2 linked regions of the Saccharomyces cerevisiae S288C genome follow. The gene in region 1 interacts genetically with each later gene. Each region holds a gene or a part of one and is shown on either strand. Other genes may lie near its edges.

Region 1 (8,564 bases):
CAAAAGGCCTGACGCTGGAGGAGGTGAATACTATGTGGCTGGAAGGTGTGCCAGCATGGAAATCAGCCTCATGGGTGCCACCAGAAAGAAGAACCGCAGATTACGATGCTGACGCCATAGACCATGACGATAGACCAATCTACAAGAGGTTCTTTTCCAGCTAATCTTCCGGTTTTTAGTAACTGGAAAAAAATACATGAACTTAATTATTTATTATATACAATATTTACTTTTTTACGCCTTAATCCTTAACGGACTATTTGTTATGCCTTATAGAACTAGAAATTATATGATAAACATGAGCTACACGAGTTGACAGGGTGAACAGATTACTATAGCATCTTTCTCTCATGAATAATTTTTAAAATGTATAAATTTTGTAACGTTCCGAAGGGTGGAGTGAAATTCCATTCAAGAAACCAAGCATTGAGACAGAACAGTACAGAGTTCAGTTGTTGCGGACCGAGAATTGTAACAAGTAGCCCCAGAAACATTCATATGACGTCTGTTTCAAATTAAGCTTAGTAAAAGTACACATTTACCATAAAAAAATAGTACCAAGTCGGTGGCCTGATATCCTTATTTTCCTTCTGCCAATTGGGCAAGTTGGTACTAATATTTTAGGTGACACTGCCACTTTATTGTTATGGATTGAAATTTCTTAAATGTTCTCACAATCGGCCATAACGCTATTTCTCCGACGTAACCTCCTGTCATAGTGTGCCGTGCCTGAATAACTTAAAAAATTAAAGTTTTCAATGTGCCCAAAAAAATTCACAAATAGTACGCGCTCGTTAAACACCCTGTGACGCTGGGCCAGGCACTATTTAGCATTACTTCGAAAAGACGCAAGTATAAAGAGTGAGATCTCACGTACTACAACAAGAACATAGAGAAGCATTCTAATAAGCATATAAACAAGGCTTCTAGAGAAAAATGGGCGTATTAGAAAATATAGTACCTGGTGAGCTTTATGATGCGAACTATGATCCAGATCTTTTGAAAATTAGAAAAGAGACTAAAATAAAATTGCACGAATACAACACCCTTAGCCCCGCTGATGAGAATAAAAAGAGCCAGGTAATAAGAGAATTACTTGGTAGTTGCACTGATAACTTTATAATTGAACCGCCGTTTTACTGTGATTACGGAAGTAACATCTATATCGGAGACAACTTTTACGCCAATCACAATCTTGTTATATTGGATGGGGCCAAGGTAGTCATCGGTGACAACGTATTTATCGCCCCTAATGTTGGTATTTATACGGCAGGTCATCCAATTGACGTGGAAAGACGGCTTCAAGGATTAGAATATGCCATGCCTGTGACCATTGGAGACAATGTATGGATTGGAGGTGGAGTGTCAATAATTCCTGGAGTAAATATAGGTAAAAACTCCGTGATTGCCGCCGGTAGTGTTGTGATTCGTGACATACCAGAAAATGTAGTGGCAGCAGGTAATCCTTGTAAGGTGATAAGAAAGATCACTGAAAAAGATAGTACAACTACAAACTATCGAAAATGATGGATCCACTTTCTGGAGGAATTATCGAAAGCAAGTGTTGTCTTCTATGATTATGTACCGTATTTTCTTATAAGAATAAATAAAAAGCTAGTTCAGTTTTAGTCGACTAAATACGCAGAGAGATTATTAATTATTGGTATATGTTCTGGTTTAAGTTGCTCATTCTCAACTCGACTGTGTATAGTAGCTTCTTTCTGGTATAATCTATCTTCGAGGAGAAAATTATAGTTTACAACTTATGTAAAACTGCTCAAGTTCCAACCGTATAGAAAACGCGTGGCTGGTAGCTTTATGTTCGGATTTGAGAAATTTTCGGGGAAATAAGTACCGTTCTAATTTTTCAGCGCAAATTAACATGCGGAGAAACTTTAAACTGAAAATATGGCCACCTGCATGCGTCCATATGAAAGGGTCATCAAATAGCCTCGAACAAAACAAGTAACATTTTCGATGGAGTTAGAAAGGGATGATCCTATACGCACAGATTTCCTAGGTATTTAACCTGACCTAATATTAACAAAAGTCCAAGTGACGGCTTCTCCATCAAACAAGATAAATTACCAAACACAATGGTCGAATCTAAGAATACTGAATTATCGCAAGGAACATGGCTCAATAAGCCAAAATCTGTTTTTCAAGAGGCAGGAAAAGTCACTCTGGAAACAGATGAAAAAACTGACTTTTGGCGTGAAACATTTTACGGATTTACCCGTGATAGCGGTCATTTTTTGGGAGTAGAGACAGGTAGTGCTTTTACTGCACAAGTCCGTGTTCAGGGAAGCTACGAGAGTCTTTATGATCAGGCTGGTATCATGGTTCGTATAGATGATGGACATTGGCTCAAAGCTGGCATAGAAATTTCTGATGGCCACGCAATGCTAAGCAGTGTTTTGACAAATGGAAAATCAGATTGGTCAACTGCTGTTTATGGCGGAAATGCTCGCGATTTCTGGCTTCGTGTTACTGTTGAAAAGGGCGTTTTGAGGATTCAGGTGTCCTCTGATAAAAAAACATGGCCGTTAGTACGTTTGGCTCCATTTCCAACTTCTGACCATTACCTTGTTGGACCAATGGCTTGCACACCTGAGCGTGGCGGATTGAAAGTTACTTTCTCGGAATGGAGTCTCACAGCTCCTTTAGGAAAAGCTTTACATGATTTGAGTTAGTTCACCTATATATCAATATATAAAGAGGGGTTTGCTTTTGTTAAGAACAAGGCCTGCACCTCACTAAGATCTGTTGATTTGGCACTATGCTTTTTAAAATTTTGTTTATACTCAATTTCGTCAAGATTTTTTTTACTAGTACAATCCATACAGTTAACAAAATACTGGGCAATAAGGCGTGCATACTACGAAATTTTTAGTTTTGTTATAATAAACGACTTTTAGCTAGTGTTTTAAGATAAAGTGACGAAAGTTAGGGTGAGAATAGTCGAATGTATTTACTAATTATTGAATTCGTGGTAATTAGTACTTATGATGATGGGGTTTAAAGGGCTAAATTTAGACAATAGAAACAGTAATAATGATGTTTTCTATTTTTCTGCTGTACGTTGCTTTTTATTTTATATTTCTTCGGAAAAAGGTTCAGTGAATTTTCTGTCTTCTATATACATATATAAATTGCAATTGAAAATAGCGTACAGCGTAAGTTAAGTATCCAATGCTCACATATGAAAAGCAAAAGTAAAAAGAAATATACAAGTTTATTATTCATAAATATCGGCATAACTATTTGTTTCGAAAGATCAGTACGTTTATGTTAAATGTGCTCGTTACTTCAACAAGTAAAGTCTTCCTTCCCATGGCTGCAAGGTGCGGGAATCACCATTTGAGTTTGCATAGTTGCCAAAAAACATGGTGTAGGAGGCCTCATTATCAGGAACTGAAAAGTCCGTATTATCGCTACTGAAATTGAAAACAGCAAACATTTTTTTGTTATCTGTGTCCTTTGTAAACATGAATAGCTTGTCATTATCAAGATCAATGAACTGAAAGTTATGTCCATAAACAAGGATATCTTTGTGCTCCTTTCTAACTTGTAAGGCCTTTTTCCAGAAAAAGAAGACTGAGTTTTTATCTTTTAACTCAGCTTCTGCGTTGATTCCGTCTCTAAATGATTCATTCATGTCAATCCATGGTTTGGCATCCTTCGAGAAACCTGCAGAAGGCTCATCAGCACTCCATGGGAATGGTGTTCTCCCATGATCTCTAGAGATCAAAGCTAATGCTTCAAAAAACTTTTTCATCTTTTCAGAATCTTCACCATAATCACGTTTAATGGCGGCATATGTACCAGTACCTTCAACGCATTTGATTTGCTCAATTTTTCTGTTTTTGAAGTTGGGCATACCCAATTCTTGTCCTTGGTAGATAAAAACAGTACCAGTCAATGAAATGATGAGAGTAGCCAACATCTTGGACGAAATCTCACGCCATTTAGGAGAATCTGAGCCAAAACGCGAAACGCTACGAGGTTGATCATGATTCTCCAAATAGATGGTCGACCAGCAATCTGTGTTTTCGATAAACAGAAAGCTTTCAGCAAGAGCCAGCTTAAAGTCTTTTAAAGTAAAGGGAATAAGTTCGTACTTGCATTTTGGGTTTTCACCTACTGAGGTGTGCTTGAAGTTGAACATCATATTTAGTTCTCCTTCTTTGGCACTGGTATAAACTCTGAAGTCGTCTTCATTCCCGATACCAACTTCTCCAACAGTCATGATTTCTTTACCCTCTGGAACTTGCGAGAGCATGTAGTTATGCATTTCTTTATGATACTCATGGATACGTGGCCCATTTATGAAAAATTCAGTTCCTTTTTGGTAAGGAACTGTAGGATCAGTGATAGGAGCATCGGGTAGGCCCTCAACCTTAGAATACATGCTGCCTACGTCAATACGAAAGCCATCAACGTTGTGACGTAGCCAATAGCCCACTGAGGAGTCATAAATGGCTTTACGGCACTCTTCATTTTCCCAATTGAAATCAGGTTGGCCAAGAGCAAACACATGCAGAAAGAACTCACCAGTTTTTTCGTCATATCTCCAAGCAGATCCACCAAAGAAAGATCTCCAATTGTTGGGAGGAATTGGATTACCTTTCTCATCGTAACCCTTTGGAGGTCTCCAGAAAAACCAGTCACGCTTTGGATTAGCCTTAGAAGATCTACTCTCCTTGAACCATTCATGCTCTTCAGAACAGTGGTTGATAACCAGGTCAACAATAACCTTGATACCTCTCTTATGAGCTTCTTCTATCATTTGGAAACAATCCTCATTGGTACCGTAACGTGGCCAAACCTTCTCATAGTTGGCAATATCGTAACCCATATCTTCTTGAGGAGAGTCATAAAATGGGCACACCCATATCGCATCGACACCTAATTCTTTGACATAGTCAAGTTTGGAGGTAATCCCAGCTAAATCACCCCATCCGTCATTGTTGGAGTCCTTGAAACTAGCAGGATAAATTTGGTAGACGGTGGCTTCTTTCCACCATTTAGGATTATGGATGATCGTCATGTTTTTCTTTTCAATATTGAGCACTTTCTATATAGTCATCAAGAAACAGTAGTTTTTCGCACCAAGATATGTGAACAAGTGTCCTAATTTATAATTCGTCAGACGTTTATGAACTTACTCCTCAAAACCGTATCAATTACCGTAGCGGTAATGGAAGATACAATTCTTAAGTGTGAATTACTTTTTCCGGTGAATTAGCTTCTAGGATTGTGACTATTTCAATGGACAATGTTGCAAATAGTTTCAAATATTCCCGTGTTTCTCCGAGGATTCTCCACGGAGGAAAAATAATGCAAAGTTTATTTCCCCGTTTTCTTTTCTCCGTCTAGGCATTTACGCTTTCACGCAACTTTATTATATCACCTCCGCGGGGATTCAACAACGAGGTATGTGGAGAAGGAGAGAAATTCCAGAGAAAGCAGCCTAGAGCATCCTGCTGCAGCAACTTATAAACGTATCTCACAGAAAAGGCCGGAGAAAGTTCTTGAAATGTGTAATTTAGCCTACCTGCCAAGCGGCTGGAATTATCCCGAGAATAATTCCGCGACCGGGCCTGTTCCTGAACTCTAAGAAGTTTTGGAATTTCCGAACGCTTCTTCGCATGAAAGACATGAACTCTTAAGTAAAATAATATGAACTGGCATGGTCGTAATCTTTTGGACGACGGAATATCATCGCTAACCATTGTAAGGGATGAAGCTTGACTAGATATATTTAAACGACCATTTTTGTTTCATTCTTATTTTAGATTGCATTTTTTATAAGTCACTTTTAGTTAGCTCAGAACGCCAGCAAAAACCATGACTGATCGTAAAACCAACTTGCCAGAAGAACCGATTTTCGAAGAGGCAGAAGATGATGGCTGCCCTTCGATAGAAAATTCTTCACATCTGTCAGTACCTACAGTGGAGGAAAACAAGGACTTTTCCGAGTATAATGGGGAAGAGGCAGAGGAAGTTGTTGTTCCAGAAAAGCCTGCTTCAGCCTATGCTACTGTTTCTATCATGTGTTTATGTATGGCTTTCGGTGGATTTATGTCCGGTTGGGACACAGGTACGATTTCTGGTTTCGTCAATCAGACTGATTTTTTAAGAAGATTTGGTAATTATAGCCATTCCAAGAACACTTACTACTTATCTAATGTGAGAACTGGGTTGATTGTGTCCATCTTCAATGTGGGAAGCGCCATTGGCTGTCTTTTCTTGTCTAAATTGGGTGATATTTACGGCCGCTGCATGGGTTTGATTATAGTTATTGTCGTTTATATGGTTGGTATTGTCATTCAAATTGCCTCTATAGATAAGTGGTATCAGTATTTTATTGGAAGAATTATCGCTGGTATAGGTGCTGGTTCCATTAGTGTTCTTGCCCCGATGCTTATTTCGGAAACTGCGCCAAAGCATATCAGAGGTACGTTGCTAGCTTGTTGGCAATTGATGGTGACTTTCGCAATTTTCTTGGGTTATTGTACCAATTATGGTACCAAGACTTACTCGAATTCTGTCCAGTGGCGTGTTCCGCTTGGTCTATGTTTTGCATGGGCTATTATTATGATTGGTGGTATGACGTTTGTTCCGGAATCTCCTCGGTTTTTGGTGCAAGTCGGTAAGATTGAGCAAGCTAAAGCTTCTTTTGCCAAGTCGAACAAGCTTAGTGTTGACGATCCTGCTGTGGTTGCAGAGATTGATCTTCTTGTTGCTGGTGTGGAGGCAGAAGAAGCAATGGGAACTGCTTCATGGAAGGAATTATTTTCGAGAAAGACTAAAGTTTTTCAACGTTTAACGATGACAGTCATGATTAACTCTCTGCAGCAACTAACCGGTGACAACTATTTCTTCTACTACGGTACTACTATCTTCAAATCTGTCGGTATGAATGACTCTTTTGAGACTTCAATTGTCTTGGGTATTGTGAATTTTGCTTCTTGCTTCTTTTCACTTTATTCTGTTGATAAGTTGGGCCGTCGTAGATGTCTTTTACTTGGAGCAGCCACCATGACGGCGTGCATGGTTATTTACGCCTCCGTTGGCGTCACAAGACTATATCCGAACGGTAAAAGTGAACCATCATCTAAAGGTGCTGGTAATTGTACGATTGTTTTCACGTGTTTTTACATTTTCTGCTTTTCCTGCACCTGGGGACCTGTATGTTATGTGATTATTTCTGAAACATTTCCATTAAGGGTGAGATCCAAGTGTATGTCCGTTGCAACAGCGGCCAACTTATTGTGGGGGTTCCTAATCGGGTTTTTCACTCCTTTTATTACTTCGGCAATTAATTTCTACTACGGTTACGTTTTCATGGGTTGCTTAGCGTTTTCATATTTTTACGTCTTTTTCTTTGTTCCAGAAACAAAAGGTCTAACTTTAGAAGAAGTTGATGAGATGTGGATGGACGGTGTATTACCTTGGAAATCTGAATCCTGGGTACCAGCTTCTAGAAGGGATGGTGATTATGATAACGAAAAATTACAGCATGACGAGAAACCCTTCTACAAAAGAATGTTTTAGACCGGTGAAAACACACGCAAGCAAACTTCAAAGTACATTGATAAATAATGTCCAATGCCCTCTGTAATATAGGGGCTTTTTAATTCCTAAGACTGATTCGATATATTAAACACCAGGGCTACTGAAGACTGACAGTCACGTTGAGTCCTATTATATCATTTTACTCACAGAAGATTTGGTAATATGATACTTAGATGGGCTTAACAACAAAGTGTTTTCTTGATGTTACTGCCCATGAAAAAAAGCAAATCAAATTAGTAGGCGGATTGTTAACTTTGTTTATTTTGAAACCCGTCAGGACTACCAAAATATAACAAAGTATTGATTATCGTCAACGCTTTATAGATCACTTTTTTTTTTTTTTGAGGAACCGATTAATTAATACATCGTAGCCTCTGCTTATTGCATAACACAACAAAAAAATACAATAATACGCAACTTTTGTTTATAGAAAAATAAAAATGGAACATATGATATTCTCTGTTCGTCATATGATAACTTAAGCACTTTCGTGTGTACATAGGTATTCTAGTGCATTGGAATGAGATCAATTATGATTTCCTAACCCAGAATTTATATTACTAATGATTTCAGAATTAATAAAAGCTGAAATAAAAGGAGTAGCAATGTAATAGGAAATAAACGAGGGCACATAGAAAGGAAGAAGAAAAATTACATTATGTGGAATTATTGATTCCCTTGGCAATTTCCCATAGTCTCATGAAAATTCCTGGCCTATTCTGTATTCATAATTCCATACTCTTTTTTAACAATGAAACTCCGGTAATTACCACAATATTTACTTATATCTCAATACGAACGCATGTTCTCTTCGAGGAAGACCAGCATTAGCGCTAAGCGCTAAGCGATGAGTTGACTTAATTTTTAAAAGGACGATGTTGGCGCGTTAGTGCATAAGAAAGTCAGCAAATCCCTTTAAGCTGAAAACCTTGATATATTTCTCGGCCTTTAATAATGGCGCAACTGATTTTAATTATCTTTGA
Region 2 (9,755 bases), on another chromosome or scaffold:
GGCTGTATCCATTTTACTTAGGTCAAATGTATCTACGTAATTTATTAGTTCAGGCCAAGGGTTCTGTAACCGTAAATCATACTTCTTACTATCTGGGTGTGCTTGCAAAACAAAATGTGTTTCTGAGAGTACCAGATATATATATCCATAAAATCCAGAGACGAAAGTGTTTAGAACAGGCGGAAACTTTGTTCCTCTCTGCCGCCTAATCTCATTTAAATCGAGCATCGCAGTTTGCTCACCAATACAAGTCAAGATCACCACCGAGAAGCGGGTCCAATCATACTGAGGTTGCTGTAACGTCTTTCTAAGGTCATTTTCCTCATATTCTAGCTGTTTAGAAGCCAATGGCTCAAGATCTTTTTTAAGCTCTGCTAAAAACAGAGAACCCGATTGAACTGCACACTCTACTTTGAGCCAAGTAAGAGATGATATTCCGGCAAGCACCAGATTCTTAAAAACTTCCTGCAGCAAAGGTGTAGCAGGTCCTACCACGCACACACGGGACCGGTTCAAACTATCTTGGCCCAATGCTCCCCATAGTCTCAGCTGTCTATCATATCTTTCCATATTTTCATCTACGGCTGTCTAGTTGGCCTAAGAAAGAAAGAGAGGCGACTCATTTTTTTGACGTCAATCGTCTGACTTGTCCTTCTATTTCATTGCTAGGCTAGAAAGCTTAGCTCTTACAACCCCGCTCGTTGCAGCCGAGTGAAAAGGGGATTGCGAAAGGCGTTAGAGGGGATAAAAAGGGGCCCTTTAAAAAAAAGACGGAAAAACCGGGAAGATGCAACGGCTAAATCGCAATATATAAACAGGTGAGATAGAAAAGAAAAAAATCAGTTAACCTCTTTCCTCAATTCCAATGCTTGACCGTAAATTCTCTTTATTTGGTATACGAAAGATTAAACTTTCAAAGCTCCAACACAAGAATGCACAGAACTTACTCTTTAAGAAATCAAAGAGCTCCAACGGCTGCTGAGCTACAAGCTCCTCCACCACCACCATCCTCAACGAAGTCCAAGTTCTTCGGAAAGGCCTCTATTGCGTCTAGTTTTAGAAAAAATGCGGCTGGTAACTTTGGGCCAGAGTTGGCTCGTAAATTATCTCAATTGGTTAAGACTGAAAAAGGTGTCCTTAGAGCTATGGAAGTTGTTGCCAGCGAACGCCGTGAAGCTGCAAAGCAACTGTCTCTATGGGGTGCTGACAATGATGATGATGTTTCCGACGTAACCGACAAATTAGGCGTCTTAATATATGAGTTGGGTGAACTACAGGACCAGTTCATCGATAAATATGATCAATACAGAGTCACATTAAAATCAATTAGGAACATTGAAGCCTCTGTTCAACCTTCGAGAGATCGTAAGGAAAAGATCACAGATGAAATTGCCCATTTGAAATATAAAGATCCTCAATCAACAAAAATCCCAGTTTTAGAGCAAGAACTAGTTCGTGCCGAAGCTGAATCTTTGGTTGCGGAGGCTCAATTATCGAATATCACACGTGAAAAATTAAAGGCTGCTTATAGTTATATGTTTGATTCATTAAGAGAGCTTTCTGAAAAATTTGCCCTGATTGCTGGATACGGAAAGGCCTTATTGGAGCTGCTAGATGACTCTCCTGTCACTCCAGGTGAAGCTAGACCAGCGTACGATGGCTATGAAGCTTCTCGCCAAATTATTATGGATGCTGAATCGGCCTTGGAATCTTGGACCCTAGACATGGCTGCAGTCAAACCAACTCTTTCATTTCATCAGACCGTTGATGACGTCTATGAAGACGAAGATGGTGAAGAAGAAGAAGAACCTGAAATCCAAAATGGAGATATCCCCGGTCAAGTAGTCGAAGAAGAGGAAGTTGAATGGACTACTGAAGTTCCTGTAGATGATGAAGCCCATGAGGCCGATCATCATGTTAGTCAAAACGGTCATACCTCCGGTTCTGAAAACATCTGAGTTTTTTCTAATAATTAATATATTCGAACCTTTCTATATTGTGCTTGTTTTTCACCAGCTCGTGTCTACCTATTATTAATTTCATCTGAATTTGGTTCAAGTATTGTTCGGCCAATATTCCGGTATTGTAATCACCTTTATAATTAATTGAACAAATTTTATAAGACCTAATAATTAACCTTTCTCTTGTTCTCCTTTGCCGTAAGAGATTCAACTTTTCGAAGTCTAATTAAATGAATATGATCTATGAAGTATATATGTACAATAAAAATGCCTATATTAATAAAATTCCTGTCCAAATGCCAGGGCACTTATGCCTCCCTCATCAAACCTCCCCAACTATTCTCCTCTTTACTAGCTCTTTTTTGAAAGCTACATCATTGTCTTTGATATACGCCATTCTTTTTTCCAAAGCAGCCTTTGTGGCTATTGCTTTAACCCGATTTCGATATTCTCTTTTTTTCTGGGAAATGTTTGAGGGTAGGTTTGTGGGCTTCTGATGATCTTGTGCTGTATTGGTGCAGCGTAAAGTAGTGGGGATACAACCCAAAAAACGTAGTATTTTTTTTTGTGAAGAATCACTTTCTTTCCAAATTTTCCAAGAGAACTCACCCTCGGAAGCAATCAGGTTGCCCAACAATTTTCTTGCTTTTTCAATTGACTTTTCTGATAGCGTATTAGGACTACCAAATTTGAAAATTGAGTCTGCTTTGGTTCTCCAATAACTTGTCCGCAATCCAAATCCTTCACTAACCTTTAAGTCTTTGATATACTGTAGGACTGCCCCAAAATTCTTGGTGTTGCCATTCCTAACTAACGCTTTAAATAACATTTCGAACGTCTGAGAATCAGGTTTAATTTTGTAAATCTTACGACAAGTATTATAGCAAAGGAATGCCAAATCACTTCTTCCCTTATTAGCAAATACCCGCATGAAATGATTCATTGCCTCCGAGTCCAACTTAAAATTACTTTTCAAGTGCTGAAAACCATAGTCAAGTAATTTAGATGCGGTTTCAAGTTGTTCCTCGTTTAGTAGTCGTTCTATGCACAGATAGAACGTCTTACGGGAAATCGGTAGTGAATTTGCTGCTAAAACTTTTAAACAGTCCTCTGCTCTATAATCTCCGTTCCTTAGCACAGTATAAACAAAATTTACGTTAAAATTTCCTAAATGTTCACCCATTTGAACAATGTACAATTGTCTCGAAACTTCATCACGAAGAAAGTTATAACATGTCGTCCAAGTTATTACATCTGCAAAAACTCCATGATTACGCATACTTCTAAGATAAAAAAGGACCTCATCGTCAGGGTGCTTCGTTTTTCTAATATGCGAGTTTTTCACTACATTACGCAGTAAAAGATTAAAAGTGATTGTATTTGGTTTAGTCCCCTCAGCCTTCATTTGTGCAAATATTTCTCTACAAGACGCAAAGTCGAAGTGCTCACTGAAAAAGTATATTGAGTCATTATAAACTTGAGCAGAACGCAACGGCAGAGTCGTCTTATTGGTTGGATGAAGTAGGTGCCGCAGCATCTTACGCACAATACCATTTAGTTTGGAAGATGAACGAAAATTGAACTTTGTATGACTTAGTATTCCAATATAATTTTCAAACAATTGAGGGTTCTTTGAAAAGTCAGGGAGAGGAGGGATCTCGTCATTACTAAACTTAAGAAACTTACGAGTGAAGCGTTCTGGCCCTGAATTCTTCTCATTCGATGTGCAATCTATCAGTAGCGTCAATAGTTCTCTAGTAAACTCTTGAGACTTTGCTGTAAGAAGTTTCTGGAATTTATTCGAGGAATTCGTTTGTTTAGAGAACATATACATTCGTTTTGCACGTTCCTCATCATAGTCATCCCTAATTTGTTTCCTAGAAAGCGTTAAAGTCGGCAGGCTTGAAAGGTATTCCTTAACTTGCTCCCTTTCATACTTCACACCATGCCGTACTATTTTTTTTGCCTCTCCATTAACTGACGTTGATGTTGGGCTATCTATTATTTTTTCATCAACTTTCTTGACATTTGCAATTGGTATACCCTCTCTGAACAGGCCTGGAAATATTACTTTCTGATATAGTTTTGGAGCTTCTCTCCCACTTTTGGATAGTGCTTGTGTCAAACACCTTAATGTATTCATAAATATACTAAATGGCTAAGGATGCCCAAGAGTGCCAGAAGATGCCAGAACAAAATCACCCCGAAGTAATCGGTTTTAGTTCTTTTGGCCTTTCCTCTTTTGAAGTTCTGTGTGCGAAAATGACGATTTTCGCCCGAAACCAATAATACTTTTATGACACTATTAAAGATTAAATATAGTAGAAGTATCTAACTTCAATGCACGATAACAACGAAGCCTGTGTTAGTGTTATCATTTCTGACTCGAAAAATTTTCCCACAGATTTTCTGGTGTGGCATCAGAATAATTAACGAATTTTTACCTATTTTTTCACTACGTAAAATATAGTATAATCTGCTATGGCTAATCTTCTGCTTCGATGGAATCGTCCCTATAGCTTTCACCACCAAACAATGAAAGTAAAGCAGGTAAAAATAGGAGAGCATGCAATGCTGCTACAATGATTAGTGTAAACCACATTCTAAAGTAAAATACATCAAATATTTTCGATTGGGCGAATGCAAGTACACAAACTCCAATGAATTTGGTTAGAGTTATACCTTTGATGACGGACTCACCTATGGTATTCAAGGAATAGAGAACTCTTGAGTTTGCGTCTTTCTTGGTTTCACTGGGGACCACTGTAAATGATCTAACAATATGAACACAAAACTCGACACCCAAACCGACACAAATAATTAAATTGACTAAACTGACAGCGTTGAGTGAGATACCTAGTAGGGCCATCAAAGCACCAATATCTACGATAATCATGGTAACGACCAAAGCCAGTAAGAATGAGCTGCGTATATTCTGCAAGAAAACAGATGAAATGAAAAAAATTAGGATAATGGCACTCCCTATTAGCTTCAACGTCAATGGTCCCAAAGTTTGATATTGAACAAAAAAAATGTAAAACGGCGAGTATGCAAACATATCTAGTTCGGGGAAAGAACTTGATATCCTAACTCCATCACTATACGCCTGGATAAAGTCCTTTTGGGATCTCAAAGGATGATGAGCTGTTCTGAAAACTGACGCAGACACACTCGTTTCATTATAAACTAACGCAGTCGAATATGGCGCACGACCACCTAGAGGGCAGGGGTCACTAGGCGCATTAATCCATATGCTTAGGTATTCCATGAAGTCCTTGCCCTCAGGAAACCCTGACATGTTGTAATTCCAAGAACCCTGCTGGAAACAAGTTTCACAACGTCTACTTGGAAAAGAGGGAGGACAAACCTCATCTGTTCCCTTCTTTAATCTACAACACTGGTCGTTTTGAGGATTTAAAAACATGAAATAATCGTCCAGCCAATTAGCCAATGGCTCCGTAATTGTTGACCTGTGTCTTTCTTGCTCCAGTACATTAGCTAATGAGTCTCTTTCGCAAGTTGTAAATTTACCACATATTTTCTGTTGGTTTTGTCTTTTAGTCAAATCTAAATTCTTCACGACCATGTAAACCGGTGGTCCTACGTTTAGGAAGCTATAAACATCCTTAAAATAGTCAACCAGGTAGGAATCCTGTGGAACAGCCAATGTTTGATCTAGCCCAAATTGAATTTCTGGTAAGAAAACCAGAGATGTGAAAAACCAAGCCGAGAAGATAATGATTATGAGCCTCTTTTGCGTTAACATCTTAAAATAAAACGTTTTCAAAAATGATTCCTTAGTTTCTTCATTTCCGGTAATTTGTTTATAATTGGATCTCTTTTCGTAGAGAGACAAAATGGACACATACGCTGTTAGCTGTAATACTCCGTTGAATATAACAGAAACTGTGGAATATATAGCAAAATTATGGACAGCTGGCATTGTAACAAATGCAGCTATCAAGAAGCATCCGGTTTGACATAGCAATGACATTAAAATGGAAGGAGACATTCTCCCGATAGCGCTTATTATTTTTTGATCAATTGAATACTCCGGTTTTTGCTCGCAATTTCTATCATACTCATGTGTAATCAAGAAAATATTATCTATTCCTATTGCTAAAATTAGAAACGGTATTACTTCTGCTATGATCAATGTCGACTTCAAACCAAAAAGAGTTAAAAATCCGGCTGCACAAACAATAGAAGCCAAAACTATGAGTAAACCAGATATTCCAAGTAACAACCTAGTTTTCCCATCCTTTCTCCTCAAGGCCCATGTAGCATATAAAAACATCATCAGGTATGATATTGCAACGGTCGAGATATCATTATTATTATTAAGCTCTTTTTCCAAGGATATTTCGGTATTAAAACTGATCCTCAGGCCCTCGGGGACCTTTAAATCCAATAAATACTCTTCCAATCTTTCTTCCCAGCGATTAGCTGATTGAGTGTGGTTGGTCAATAGAAGTGTTACAACAAACGCATGCGCATTGAGAATATCATCGTCACTGAAAAGAAGATTAGTTTTTAGAGGTTGCTGGAAAGTAGGTAGACAGTTTACAGGAAATTTCCCACATTCCTGCAGTTCCCTTTTCCAGCTATCCTTGTTTGGTAAGGCCCCCTGAAAATACTGAGTAAAAGACTCTATTACGCATGTAGAATCTTCTGTTGGTCTGAAGCAGAGATCTTGGTATCCAATATTTTCTGACGATTGTAGCTCTTCCGTAATAAAATTTTCAACGTCAAACCACCAGTGAAGTGTCTCATATGATAACACAGGGCCTGTCTCATTCACAACAAATATTTGCTCTGTCCTGTAAAATGGCCCAAAATTATCATCGAAGTACTCTTTTTCTTTGAATTTTTCAGAATTTTTACTCACCCACAAATTAATTGGATCTGTTTCAAGAGTAGCGTACTGAAATATGATGAAACTGAATACAAAGATACTAAAAACAGTGGTTATTAATATCTTGTAGGGGTTTTCAACGGAAAATTGTCCCACTTTCGTAAATAGGTTAGCGAGTTTACCATTAAAAAAGTTAGTTTCATTATTGAAACTTTCGAATACATTCGTCTCTGATTCATCTAAGGAACCTGATTCTGGAACAATATCGTCGTCCACAATCATTGCCCCGTTTTTTTTTCTTTTACAGAGATAATACCACATAAATGCAAAAAGTGCACAGATTGTGTAAAAGATCAGAACAGAAAGGGAAAAACATGGCAGAGGGCCAACTTTACACACGCCATCTTTTAAAGGTTTTAAATGGGGGCAAGACTCTTGACAATCAGAACACGCACATTTATATTGAGCATCATCGCAAGCATAAACCTCATCATTAAATTCCTGCCATTCTTTTTCTTCATTTGCTAAATCATACTTGTAATTAATCTGAAAGGGGGATCCACCAAGCATAGGTTTAGCATCCCCCAAAAACTTCAAGAATTGACTGTAATTTTTAGCACCACCTCCGATTAGGTCCATCGCATAACCGTTGGTAGCAGAAAATTTAATATTCTTACATGAGTCATAAAATTCAGATGCCCAAGACGAATTCATGAAAACGTCTAATTCCGCAACAATATCTTTATCTTCTTTTGACTTTTCTACCTTGGTAATATTGACAAACCTTCCTTGGTCAGCAGCGCAAGTGAAGTGACAGAACAGGTTATTAAAATTCTTGAGGCATGCTGGGCATGAGGAAATTAAAGGTTGAGCCTTTTGTAGGTTATCTCTCAGTGCTACCACTTGATCTTTAGTACAGCAGGCATAACGGACCTCTTTCCACTCTTCACCACAAACTTCAACCAAAAGTTTGCTTGTTTCATCTGAAAGAACAGGAGGTTCAAAACTACGTGGCACAGGGCAAGGTAATTCGTTTCCAAATACTGACTTTTTCCCACAGTTCCCATACATGGCACAGGTAGCTGTTCCCTGAACGAGCCGCATCAGCTGGCCAACTAGTGCTATAATCCATAGCACATTCATGGTTTTACTAATTGAAGTTCTGCTCTTGTTCTTTTTGGAGATGAATTTAGTTATCTTCTACACAAGAACGTTGTTATACTGGTTGTTGATGTTCCTCTCGTTTGGCACTCCCGCTATATAAACGCTAAGGGGGTCACCCGAGAAGTTCAAGGCTCTTTATCAGAATATCGCAAATAATCTTTAGTACTGTAGGTAATGGGCTAGCGCCATCCAGAAGTCTAGTTTAATTGCCAAAAAGTGGCGCTCTTGATGTTAGTGATGGGAAGAGAATATCTTGACTACTCTATCGTTCGGTAATAGTTAATTACTGGGATGCGCTTAAATGATTATACAAGTTATTTATGTCGACGACTGCCTGTAGAAAAACAATGTAGCGAATACCTGCATAGCAGTTCAATAATAGGAGAGAATCATTGCGTATATATTACGAAATACCACAACTGCAACACATTTATGTAAGATTAAATTGTTGCTTACATCTGTTGTGACATTAGCCACGGTATGCAATTAGCTGAATGATTTATTTCAATAAAAAAGGAAATAGACCTTCCCAAAGATAATCCAACTTCCCAGCATTTGCTTTTGAAGTTTTGCTTCGTATTGGAAGGCTTTAAATGGCGTATTTCTTCCGTCATTTCGCACCTTAAGTGTATTCTGTTTCTTACGCGCAACGCACTTTTCTCAATAATGAGATCTAAACAATGATTAGACAGAATTATATATAATGAAAAAAGCAGCATGACTAACTTTGTTAGGAGTTAGGAAAGCCAATTCAATTCATAATGAAGCTTCTAAAGGACTTATTGGTAGATAGAAAGGAATTTGAGGATTGGAAGAACAATTTAACATGGGCTCGGGATGGTACTCTATATTTGACCACATTTCCTGATATTAGCATTGGGCAGCCAAAATATGCTAAAGACATTAATTGCAACAGTAAGAATTTATTTCATGTGAAAGAATTCCCGCTAGAATTTGAAAATAAACTGGATTTCGAGCTGGCGCAACAGAATGGGTTATTAAATTCACAACCTGTTTGTTATCCCAGAGTCTGTAAGCCATCACCAATAGACGATTGGATGGCCGTATTGAGCAATAATGGTAATGTTTCTGTGTTCAAAGATAACAAAATGCTCACAAATCTCGATTCAAAAGGAAACTTAAGTAGCAGAACCTACCATTGTTTTGAATGGAATCCTATTGAATCATCAATCGTGGTTGGTAATGAAGACGGTGAGCTTCAATTCTTTAGCATTCGCAAAAATTCAGAAAATACTCCAGAATTTTATTTTGAGAGTAGTATTAGATTAAGTGACGCAGGCTCAAAAGACTGGGTCACTCATATAGTATGGTACGAAGACGTTCTTGTAGCGGCGCTTTCAAACAATTCTGTATTTTCAATGACAGTTTCTGCTTCCTCTCATCAACCCGTTTCTAGAATGATACAAAATGCTTCGAGAAGAAAAATTACTGATTTAAAGATAGTGGATTATAAGGTGGTTTTAACTTGTCCCGGATATGTGCATAAGATAGATTTAAAAAATTATTCAATTTCTAGCTTGAAAACAGGATCTCTCGAAAATTTTCATATAATCCCATTGAATCATGAGAAAGAGAGCACGATATTATTGATGTCCAATAAGACTAGTTATAAAGTTTTACTAGAAGACGAACTTCATGTGACGGCTGATAATATTATCGCGCCTTACTTAGAGAAGAAATTCAAGAAATGGAGCACAATTTGGAATGAATTCAATAATTATGAAACAACTCTTGTCATACACGGAATATCTCTC

The links.
Region 2: mutations in IMA5 (region 1) and NCR1 together harm fitness more than expected from each alone (negative genetic interaction), as found in Saccharomyces cerevisiae (2 studies listed by BioGRID).

What each region holds. Positions count from the first base shown.
Region 1 is NC_001142.9:21,037-29,600, forward strand, and holds IMA5 (oligo-1,6-glucosidase IMA5), read right to left. Parts: upstream 5,051-8,564; coding exon 3,305-5,050; downstream 1-3,304. Other genes in the region: hexose transporter HXT9, read left to right, coding at 1-164; YJL218W (acetyltransferase), read left to right, coding at 937-1,527; REE1 (Ree1p), read left to right, coding at 2,097-2,693; hexose transporter HXT8, read left to right, coding at 5,851-7,560. UniProt on the Saccharomyces cerevisiae protein: Alpha-glucosidase with specificity for isomaltose, maltose, and palatinose.
Region 2 is NC_001148.4:542,835-552,589, reverse strand, and holds NCR1 (sphingolipid transporter), read right to left. Parts: upstream 7,960-9,755; coding exon 4,447-7,959; downstream 1-4,446. Other genes in the region: ULA1 (Ula1p), read right to left, coding at 1-570; lipid-binding protein LSP1, read left to right, coding at 933-1,958; AEP3 (Aep3p), read right to left, coding at 2,284-4,104; transcription factor TFIIIC subunit TFC8, read left to right, coding at 8,742-9,755. UniProt on the Saccharomyces cerevisiae protein: Involved in sphingolipid trafficking. May recycle sphingolipids between cellular membranous compartments.